Tamandua tetradactyla: one gene and its partners. The protein of the gene in region 1 purifies or fractionates together with the protein of each later gene. This does not show direct contact. Links are inferred from orthologs where the notes say so. Each region holds a gene or a part of one and is shown on either strand. Other genes may lie near its edges. The genes, in order: LIN28A, ZC3HAV1 and ZCCHC3.

The links.
Region 2: the proteins of LIN28A (region 1) and ZC3HAV1 purify together in Homo sapiens (affinity purification with mass spectrometry; 3 studies listed by BioGRID and IntAct, with this or other methods). This does not show direct contact. The link is inferred for Tamandua tetradactyla from reciprocal best matches to the Homo sapiens genes LIN28A and ZC3HAV1.
Region 3: the proteins of LIN28A (region 1) and ZCCHC3 purify together in Homo sapiens (co-immunoprecipitation; 3 studies listed by BioGRID and IntAct, with this or other methods). This does not show direct contact. The link is inferred for Tamandua tetradactyla from reciprocal best matches to the Homo sapiens genes LIN28A and ZCCHC3.

The regions. Positions count from the first base shown.
Region 1 is NC_135328.1:199,797,130-199,800,729, forward strand, and holds the start of LIN28A (protein lin-28 homolog A), read right to left. Parts: upstream 2,672-3,600; 5' UTR 2,540-2,671; coding exon 2,509-2,539; intron 2,046-2,508; coding exon 1,861-2,045; intron 1-1,860. UniProt on the Homo sapiens protein: RNA-binding protein that inhibits processing of pre-let-7 miRNAs and regulates translation of mRNAs that control developmental timing, pluripotency and metabolism.
Region 2 is NC_135327.1:182,163,423-182,167,242, forward strand, and holds the start of ZC3HAV1 (zinc finger CCCH-type antiviral protein 1), read right to left. Parts: upstream 2,783-3,820; 5' UTR 2,453-2,782; coding exon 2,145-2,452; intron 1-2,144.
Region 3 is NC_135327.1:22,186,885-22,190,704, forward strand, and holds the start of ZCCHC3 (zinc finger CCHC domain-containing protein 3), read left to right. Parts: upstream 1-1,313; 5' UTR 1,314-1,595; coding exon 1,596-2,819; 3' UTR 2,820-3,820.

The DNA of each region.
Region 1 (3,600 bases):
GATGCCATCTGAGAAGTTTCCGATTATTCTATCCTAAGGTTAAGTCTATGGAGGCAGATCCCCACCTGCCCAGGAAAACCTTCCTCGGGATTTTTATATCACTAAGGAACCCCAAAACACAAGGGCACACCTTTCCTTCAACCCCGCCCTATTTAGGAGACTAGAAAATGTTGGGTCTGACTCTTATTCCAGCCTCCCAAAATTGGGGAAGCTGTCCAGTCAGTCTCTAGACCAGGAGAGATTTTAATCTCTGTGATCAAAGGAGAGAGTGGGGGAGGCTGGACACCCCGCTGAGGAGGGCCATTCAAAGCTGGTTCCTGTAATAAAGTGATTTAATGGATCTAAAGAGGCCAATTCCCTTCTTTCTCCCACAATTACTTCCTGTGGGTTATCATTCACATATGTAAATGAGGGAGGGGGGCAAAGCCACCAGCTTCAAGCTAGATGTCTGAAGTGGGGTGGGGGGGAAGGCAAGCATCCTGCAGTAGGCCATATTGGCAGATGGCCCACAGTCCCAATGTCAACCGATGGGTCCCCAATTCCCTACATCCTCCTCCCCTGGTACCCCATTCATCCTCAACTTCCTTGCTGCGGGACAAGCTTGAGGACTTCCCTGTCTCCAACTACCAGTCCACCCTGCATCGCCCTTCCCTGCCCTTCCCCCTCCAGGATACCCTCCCTCAGGCCCCAACCCTTAATCCCCACATCCTCCTTTCCCCTCCCCCACAGCTCCTCGGGCCAGCCTCCCTGCAGTAACCCCTCTCTGCCCGGCCTGTGTCAACCTTCAGGGCCTGGGATTAGAAATCTTCCAGGTCCATTCCCACACCTCCCAGAGTGGAAGAGACTCAGGCAACCACTTCCTTTCCATGGTTATTATGGGTGGCTAGTGTCCCAGGACCACCGGAAATGCTGCGATATCCTGGAAGGGGTGAGAGGAAAGGAGTCCAGGAAGGAGGAGGGGGACCCTGAAGCCTCTGGCTCCTTGTTGGAAGCCAGGAATTTTAGGACAGCAATCAGCGGCTGTCTAGGGCCATAAACACCAAGCAGAGACTAGGTCCCGAGGCCAGCCTCCCTCCAACCTCTGCCCTGAGACACTGAATTCCACCCCGACCGCGTCCCATTCTACTGCGTTAACTGAGCACTTGGGGTTGCAACCCAGCTCTCAGCCTGGGCCAAGAATCCAGGTCTTCTTAGGTTTTCCTTCCTGGTAGGAACTCTACAGGAAAGCTGCCAGTCCCTGAAGAGTGTGAGTGAAACCCGCCTTATGACCTTGCAAGCTCCTAAGTGGATCCTTCAGTGATCTGCCAAGCCCACCCTGACCCAGGGCTTGAGTTCTGAGTGAACACCTATGGATGGGGTGCATCAAACAGGGACCTGCCTTCTCAACCCCAGCCAGCTGGGTATGGGAATAGGTTTCCTCCTCTCCCTCTGGCCCTCCCAGTTCCATTCAGTCGTTACTGAAAGGCTCTGGGCGCCGAGTTCCTGGTTTCCGCCCAGCATGTGCTTGCTTCCCTGGCGAGTCCCCTCGCCCTCCCCCCGCCAGCAAGCACAATACAACCTTACTTTCTGCCACATGGGGTCACTTCCCTGCCCCCTTCCCAGGGGAAAGAGGTAACAGACACGTGGTGAGCTGGAGGGGTTCCCGGAAGGACGCGAGGGGAGCTCATACTTGCCGCTGCTCCCCACCCGGCCCCGGTGGCGTTATCAGGGACTCAGAAGTGGGGTGCCACGGCAAAGATGAGGGTCCGCAACGAAGAAACTTGGGTCTCCCTCAATCCAAGTGCGGAGTTCGCCCATCCACCCAGAAATATAGGACCCCCACTTCAGCGCCCCCGGCGAAGTTACCAGACTGAGTCTCACCTGATGCACAAAGACGTCCACTGGGGGGTCGAGCGCGACCCCGGCGCGGGCGGTCATCGACAGGAAACCGAACCCCATGCGCACGTTGAACCACTTACAGATGCCGGCCCCCTGCAGCAGCTGCGGCTCCTCCGCCTCCCCGGCCGCGTTCTCCGGGGCCTCCTCGGCCGCCTTGGTGCAGCCACCTGGAGATGGGGAAGGAGACCGGCCCTCAGTTGGGGAGCTCGGAATCGGAGGGCGCCCACAGAGACCCGGCAGGGAGACCCAAATGCCCAACCTACGGGTGGACATCAGGAGCCTGCAGCTACCAAGCTACCAAGACCTGTCCCGGCCGCCTCCAAGCGCTCCCCAAACCTATACCGAGACCCGTGGTGCCCCGAAAGTTTTGCTCCTCTTCTCACAACACGTTGCCCTTGGACAGACGGCTGGACAGTCCCCTCCTCTCTTCCTCCCACGCCCGCACAGCACTGGCGAGCAAGCCGCTGGGACACCAGGGTCCTAGCTCTATTCATGGCCCTTGAAGCAGAAGGCCGCGCGGACTTGGGAGTCCTTCGGGCAGCCTGGAGGGACACTTCCCCATCTTCCTTCTAGGTGGCTCCTGGGCACCCCCGCAGCCTAAGCTGTTCCCGCTAAGTCCCAAGCTCGAACCTGCAAACTGCTGGTTGGACACGGAGCCCATGGTCGTCGCCTGAGCCCGCGGCCCCGGGCCCCTGGTCGGGCGGCTGCTGGCCCCAGAGAAGTCCGGAGGCAAAGGGGTGGTTCGGAGAAGAGGCAGCTACATCTTCCCCGGCACAATAGCGGTGGGAGGGCCCACGGCTTTTCAAAGGCTCCCAAATTCTAAAAGACAATGACCCAACCCCCCGCGGGCAACCCCTTCCCCTCCCCTCCTCTTCTTTCCCCTCCCTTTCCCTCTGGCTCCGAGCAGCTCCGTCCCTCCCCCCACCGCTCTGGTCTCTGACATCTCTGGGGTGTCCCTGTTCAGAACCTAGAGGTTTGACACCCCCCTTCCCATACACATATCTGGAAATGGGGGCCGTCTTGCCCAAGAAGTCTTGGGTACCCCTCAATTTGTAGTTGTGCACTTTAAAGCCTCATTGGGGGTCCCCAAAGCAGCATACAGGTGGGGGATCTGGGGGGGGTACTTTTAAAACCACGTGACTGCTCCCACACACACTCACATACCACCCCCACCCCCTACGCAGATAATTATACATTCCAGAGAGTTGGGGGAGGGAGGTGTGAGCCTGGCAGCACTGGCCAATCAGAAACACAAACCACCTGTCAAGGGAGAAATGGATGAGCCCTCCCCCTCCCCCAGCCACTGAATGCCCCTCCCCCTCTCTTCTCCCCTCAGGCCTCTGAGCTGACCCGGCTGCTTGGCGATGACCCGCTCTCATCCCCCACCCCCGTGTGCTTAGATAGACCTGGAGTTTGGGACACTGGGAAGCCTGGGGAGGAGGAGCAGGGGGAGATTGGAGACTGGGCAGAGTTGATCTTCAGTCCTTACTCTCAAAATCTCTCTGTCTCTGACAGAAATTGAATGTGTCTCTCTCCCTGAGTTTTCCACTCAAGACTTTTTCTCAATCTCTCCCTAATAGAAGGGAGAAGGTGCTCCTAATTGATTCAACATAAAGAATCATCCCTTTTTCCCTTCCTTCCAAAATGTCTAAAGTTGGCCCCAAATAGCACTCTATGCAAGAGCAGGAGGACCCCAAAGAGGCTTGAAGTGTGCTTCTCTCT
Region 2 (3,820 bases), on another chromosome or scaffold:
ACCAAACTAAGTTGTCCAAATATATTATTGTGTGTAATATTGCAACAATTAAGGACTGTACCTGCTTATGTTTTTTTCCCTGAAAATGCAAGTCTGATTTATAAAATAATCAGGGAAATTTTAATGCCAACTGGATATTAGATGACATTAAGGAATTATTGTAACCTTATAAATGAAAATTGGATAGTAGTTATTTTAATAAAAGCGTGTAACTTTTAGAGGTATTCATTATTTATGAATGCAATGATGCCTGGGATTTGCTTTAAAATAATTCATTGGAGTGAAGAGCAGGGATGAGAAGAGAGAATAAATGAAACAAGATCGGCCATATTTTGAAAACTTTTGAAATCAAAGGATGGCTGGGGGGTTCATCATACTCTCTTCTCTACTTTTGTGTACATTGAAAATATCTATACTAAATAGTCAAAAGATAAAAGCATATGTATTTAAAAGTAAAAGCCACCATTAGCTGGTAAGGAATTTCTCATCATTCACTTTAACAGAAAAAAGATAATCTTCTAATCCCACTGCTATTCAATACAGTGCTAGAATATATAGTGTTTCCTTTTCTATTCTCCAGTCTTTCCTTCTTTCCTCAGTGGTTTCTTCCACCCCCGACTCAGATGACTTCCTCTGTAAGTCACACGTATCTTCAGGATCTCAGAAAGAGGCGTTCAAATAGTTACCTCACAAGGTACTAAACAAATATTTTTAAAATAAGCACTCTTATTCAAACACCTTTTTTAAATTTTAGAATGGGCAAAAAGGTTTTTTGCTATAAACAAATACCTTTTTAAAAAATATTATCCGTCTCATCCATTTAAAGCATGTGTCTTCTCTACATTTATATTACACATATATCAGAAGGTGAGTGATCTAAAGTTTTTTGCTAATAAGAAGTATGGGATCAGTTAGATGGCCACCATTTTAGACAAGTCACCACTTAAGGTCTTTAAGGAGGGCAATACTGTAAGACATGCCATATCAGGTACATGCCATGTACAGAAGTAAACAGAGGCAGAACAGATGGGGGAAACCACTGTGGCTACTGAGACCGTCAATTTAATTCAATAATGAATGCACTGGGAAGTGCGATGGAAAAGAGGAACTGGACAGGAGATAGGTATGTGAGACTTCACAGAAAGAGCGAATGAATTGCGAAGAGGGAAAAATATGAAGAAAAGGTGGAAGGGAGTGTCAAAAACCCTGTCTGGGGGAAAGACCATGAGTTTAACCAAGTGTACTCGGAGACTGCTGTTCCCGAGACACTGAGATATGAAGATATGAACTCAGTAGGCAAGCCTGAGCAGGGGGTGTATGCTGGGAAGCCATCTTTGTAGCTCAGGTAGCTGAGCCAACGAGTGAGCTCTTTTAGTGGGAAACTTGCGAGATAATCTAATCAAAAGGCTCAACCCAAACCTTGGGGCGCACCTATATTGAGAGAGCAGAAAAGAGCAAGTGGAGACACAGAAGTAGCTCCTAAGCAGTAAGCTGTACCATTTTAAACGACCATTTTAAGTCAGTGGTCCCGGGCGGGCCACTGCAAAGACACAAGCGGGAAAGTGCTCAGGGACTTTATTACAGGTAACCTAAAGGAGGGTCAGATGGTGTGGACTGGAGCCAGACTGTAGAGAAGTGATACTGGGAGGTACGGAGACAACCAAGATTGGAGGGTCAAGCAGAGACCAGCCGCTCGCTGCGATGGAGTCCGATGGAGAACCCCGAGTGCGGCTTTGGTGCCGGGAACCCCGCCAACAATTCTAGGATCGAAGGTAGCGGAAAGAGAAGGACTGAAGAATCCAGAGAACAAAGGCATTTTTCTTCATTCCCAAACCTGCCTTCAACATCACCAGGATCGGCTTGCCCAAAAAGCACTTTATTCTTATGGGGATGGGTAAACGCAGTCTCCGCTTGGGCAGTGTGGCGTTAGCCATATTCGAGGAAAGATCTTGAGGCACCAGGGGGATGGGGACCGCCAGGGTTAGAAGCAGGGGCTCTCCAAAGGGAGCAAAGAAATAAGAGGCTGGAGAAAGATGCTGTCGGGTGAGGGAACCCGGTGAGGGGCGCCCCTCCCGAAGCAGCAGCCCCGACCATCTTTCCCCACCACAGCCGAGGGGGTGCCTCCCCTTTTTCTGTGCACTCACCGATCCACATAAGAATAGCTGCACCGGCCTAGCAGGTTGAGCTTGCAGAGGTGCAGGTTTTCGCAGGGTCTGTTGCAGAACTTACGACGGCAGACCCGGGCTCGAGTGGTGGCCACCACCGACCGGCTGACCTCGGCCTTGCCGCCAGTCTCCAACACCACGAAGCGGTCGGGCCCGGCCACCTCCAGCACCTCGCAGAGTTGCGCCTCGGACAGCGCGATTTCCTCAAGCAGCTTGTCCAGGGCCATGCGACCCCCATGAGCGCACAGGATTTTGGTGATGAAACAGCACACCTCGGGGTCCGCCATGGCGCGCTGCCTGGCCTAGCCGAGTGCGACGAACTCAGCTTGCGTAGAATCGAAACTTACAAGTGTCCGCGGGGCGGGGACGGGAGCGGGCGGTGCTCCGCTGGACGCGCCCAGGGCGAGCGCGCGCTCTCTTCCTCCGTTAGCTAAACCCATCGGTTTCGGTTTCCAACTCGGCTCTTAGACGGAGAAGCCAGATATCACCCTCTAGTCCTTGTGTCAGATTTGAACTCTAACGCCGATGGGAAAACCTGGAAAGTGAACAAGCGCGGAGAACTCTTGGTTCTAAACTAGGCGAAGATGGGGTTTCCCAGATAATCGCCGCGGGGCTTTTTCGGAAAGAAGAGAAACTAAAAATTATCTCTGGGCTCTGGGAGCGTTTTTATAAGTCAGACTAAGTGGCAAGTGACGCGAGTCTTGAGAGCCCTCTTGAGGAGTCCTCTCGAAATCTCCTACCTCACCCATCCTTGGAAAGAACCGACCCTAGAGTACTTCCTCCGAGCTGGGCGCTCTCCTGGTGTATTTTAGTTTTCTAAGTTTCGTGGAATTTACAAGGCTCCACGGAGTCGATATTATCATCATCACTCAGTAATTGAGAAAGTAACTTGAGCAGAGGTGCACCACTACCAAGCTGGAATGCGGGTGCCCCCCGAGGTTCCCAAAATCTGGCCGCCGTGTACCAGATCGAGGTCCGCGGAATCCAGGACCAACGCGCACTTTTCTTCCATCACGATGACCCCTTAAAGAACAGCGATTATGACTCTCCGTTTTTGTTTTCCCACAAACTTTTTGAAGAAACTCTTTTAGACCCCTTCTTTTCTGCCTATAATCACTAACAGAGATGCCCCAGACATTGCTTCTTCTTCACAAGAAATCACAGGTACACATCCCAAGATTTCAAATCTGTGTCCCCCTTTTAGATATTTCGACAAGACCTTCCCCTTCAGGTAGAATAAATTGGGCATTTATCAGATAGGAAATAAATCTTTAAAAAAAAAAAATAGAATGTGGTTACCAAATTAGAAATTCTTCGAAATCGCTAATGGGATAAAAAAAAAAAACAATGGTGGGATTCACACAGAACTGCAGGTCTGTGCCATCTGATTTCCTGTGCCTTCTGGCTACTGCTTCCACACTTGTCTTTCATCCACTTGGCCATAATTGTGGTTTGACAGGTTCTCAGGTACTGGGCTTTCATTGCCAAATCAATTAAATTTAACATATTTATTGAGTATCTTTTATGTGGCCCTTACATTAGTTAGTCATTCTGAAAATGTGTAACTTTAAGAAATAGTCCCTTCACTTAAGGAGCTTATGTGTGGGAAGGCTTGAAAAGAACATTAAAAATATAAGAAAAGCATTGATTAAATG
Region 3 (3,820 bases), on another chromosome or scaffold:
CTCGCAAGGACATCTTTCTCCAAAATGCTCAGTAAATAGAACTAGAAGATGTGAGAGAGAAATAGGAAAGAATCCATAGAAAATAGGAACTTTCCCAGGAACCTACTCTGGATCAAGCTCTTTGGCACAAGTTATCTCTTTAAACCCCTTTATCTTCCTCTAAGAGTGGGTATTAATGTCCCTTTGATAATGATAAGCAAGCTGAGGCTACGACCCAGTGTGTCAGGGCTGCGATTTGAAGCAGCTAAACTCAACTTTGGGTCTTCTTGTTTCTGGAACCCACCTTTTTTTTTTCACGGAACATGGAAAAGTGACTGAAGGATCCCCAAAGACACGCAGATAAGGGTAAAGAAAATAAACCATATAGGAGTGATATTGAACTTATCTGACAAAAAAAAAGAAAAAAAGAAACTCATCTCAAAACTATCCAACATCCGCAAATAAAAATTGCAACAAATGGGGGAGGAATAAAGAGGCTCCGCAGTGCTGATTTTATCCTTGAAATCTGCTTTTTACCAAGGTTTCCTGAAAAGTCTGATATTGATAGTTCTTAATCCTCAATTTCAGGAGCAAAGTGGTTGAGGAAAGATAAGCAACCTACAGATGAGGCCCTGGGGTTGCCTATTAACCTGCCTTGGACAAGTGGAGTAATCCATTTCCAAACTCTTGACTTTTTATCTGTAAAATGGGTACAGCATCATTTTGTAAGATTCCAAGTGATAAAGCTTGCAGTGTGCATATTACCAAGTTCTTAAAAAGCACTCAATATAATTATTAGTACGATATAGACATTTTATAAAATATAAATGCAATATTAAAAATGCAATATGACCACTGATTGTATACCATGTACGAACTGTTTATGCATGAAGATTTATCAGTAAAAATATATTTTTAATGTACTATTGACGAACTTGGAAATGTATAAAAAATAAGAACTGATGAATAATTAATGATATGGATAGATGTGCGATAAGTATAGTAAAATTCTGATAAAAAGTTAAAATGCTAAAAAAAAGCAAACGGTGAAATGTTCGCTGCAAAATTCTTTGAACTTTTCTATATGTTTGCAAATGTTCATGAAGCCAACACTGGAGAAAATAATGCATTACGTTACGCTCTGTGGGGAGAGAGACAGGTTTCAACACAAGAGGTACAAAGAAAACAAAATGGGCGAGATCTGCCTCGACTCTGTCCCGCCTTTAGGCTGTGGGCCGTTAGTAATGCTGCTCGAATGAAATCATCGAGGATCGCTTGCGAAATAACAAATCCTCGAGAGCGAGGCCCGAGACTGCCAAACCCGCGCGGAAGAAAGGACGAGCCTCCAAACTCCCCAGCCCGCTTCCGCACAGAAGAGGTGGGGTTGGAGCGCGAGCTGCGGAAACGTGGCTCAGCCGTTACCAAGGGGCTCAAGGCCGGCTCGGGCCAATATGCGCCTCATGTAAATACCTTTGGGGTTGGGGGCGGGGGAGAGAAGCGTCGGATTTCAAAAAGAGAAAAAAAAAAACAAAAAACCCCCCACAGCCCCGGCGGGCGCGCGCGATGGGCACTCTTAGGCAGCGGGAGCGAGTGGAGGATGCTGGGAAGGAGGTAAAATGGCCACCGGCGGCGGCTCTGAGGAGGAGAAGAAGCGGGGGCGACCGCAGCTCCTGCCCGCAGTGCGACCAGCGGCCCGGGGCGAGGAGTCCGAGAGCGGCCGCGAGAAAATGGGCTGGGCCCAAGTGGTGAAGAACCTGGCGGAGAAGAAGGGCGAGTTCCGCGAGCAGCGGCCGCCGCGGCGGGAGGAGGAAAGTGGCGGCGGCGCGAGCGGCGCGAGCGGCGGGCTTGGCGCCTCGGCGGGCGTGGCGGCCCCGGGCCTCAGCGACTTTCCCCCGGCGGGTCGCGGGGACCCGAAGGGCCGCCGGAGAGATCCCACCGGCGAGGCGGCGGACCCCCGCAAGAAGAAAGGCGCAGCTGAGGCGAGCAGGAGGAAGAAAGCCGACACGGCGGCCATGGCGGCCCCTACCAGGCCCGGCGTGGCCGAAGACGCGGCCGAGCGGCCCCACCAGGATCAGCCGGAAGCGGCCCCCAGCCCCGCGGCGGCCCCGGGCAAGGGTCGCTTCCTCGTGCGCATCTGCTTCCAGGGTGACGAGGGCGCTTGTCCGACCCGGGACTTCGTGGTGGGCGCGCTCATTCTGCGTTCCATCGGCATGGACCCCGGCGACATCTACGCAGTCATCCAGATTCCGGGGAGCCGCGAGTTCGACGTGAGCTTCCGCTCGGCGGAGAAGCTGGCCTTGTTCTTGCGCGTCTACGAGGAGAAACGCGAGCAGGAGGACTGCTGGGAGAACTTTGTGGTGCTGGGGCGGAGCAAGTCCAGCTTGAAGACGCTCTTCATCCTCTTCCGGAACGAGACGGTGGACGTGGAGGATATCGTGACCTGGCTCAAGCGCCACTGCGACGTGCTCGCCGTGCCCGTGAAAGTGACCGACAGGTTTGGGATCTGGACCGGGGAGTACAAGTGCGAGATCGAGCTGCGCCAGGGGGAGGGCGGGGTCAGACACCTGCCGGGGGCCTTCTTCCTGGGGGCCGAGAGGGGCTACAGCTGGTACAAGGGGCAGCCCAAGACATGCTTTAAATGTGGTTCCCGGACCCACATGAGCGGGAGCTGCACGCAGGACAGGTGTTTCAGGTGCGGGGAGGAGGGGCACCTGAGCCCTTACTGCCGGAAGGGCATCGTGTGCAACCTCTGTGGCAAGCGAGGACACGCCTTTGCCCAGTGTCCCAAAGCGGTTCATAATTCCGTGGCAGCTCAGCTCACCGGCGTGGCCGGGCACTGAACACCCGCCTGCCTGCTGGGGTGAACGCACCGCTAGTTTACCCCCTCTAAGTGCCAAAACTTTTTTTTAAACCGTTTTTTTATCATTTTTGAAGGATATCTTTTTAAAACTTACAAAAGACATCTCTCTTTGCCTTCTTAAACCGAGTTTACTCCATTTCAGCCTTTTCTGAATTGGTGGCTCTCATCAGTAAAGACTACCGAGAACTGTAATGTGCAGATATGTCACCCTCCCTTTTTTACTTTGTTTTCGTTTTTGTATTTGGGATTTTTTTATTTTTACTTTTTACTCCCCCACCCCAAACCTTGTCTTCTCCTTCGATTTTCACCTTTTGGGCTGCCTTGTTCATCTTTATGCCCCAACACTTAAGTACGGAGCCTACCCAGCACCGTAGGCACTCCGACAGGGCTTGTTGAGTTGAAAACAGTGTTGGCTGTGGCTTCTGTCATGGTGTGTACTTTTGCAGCTCTTCCCCTTTTGATTTGCTGCTTCTAATCTATGTGGTCTGAGAATTTGTGAAACCAGTGTTGTTAGAAGTATATGTAATCTGAGTCAATAAGCTCTGAATGGTGGCCAAGGGCCTTTCTTATGGCATAAAAATGTATGGACTTTGTGAGATCTTTTTCAGTGGCTCAGAAGCCATTTTACATAGATTCATGGGCTCTAGAAGTTTCCTGCTGGAAAGGACCTGGGAATTAGTTTAGATGGACTCCCTGGTTGTCTGTCAGATGAAACAGGCCCAGAGAGGTTAGGTGACTGGGTCAGAATCACATTGCTGGTTGGTGACAGAGCTGAGCCTAGAGTCAAGGTCCCTGACCCCAAGCCGGGTGCTCATCCCACTACCTCTCACACTTCACGACATTTTCCTCACTACTTGAGGGCCCAGAAAGTCAGATCTCTCCGGAATAGTGAGCCCAGAGGAATGCCAAGAAATCTGGGTGAGGGGAGCAGAAAGAGATTTAACAGGGGCTTCTGAATACTTGGGAGGTAAAGGACCAACG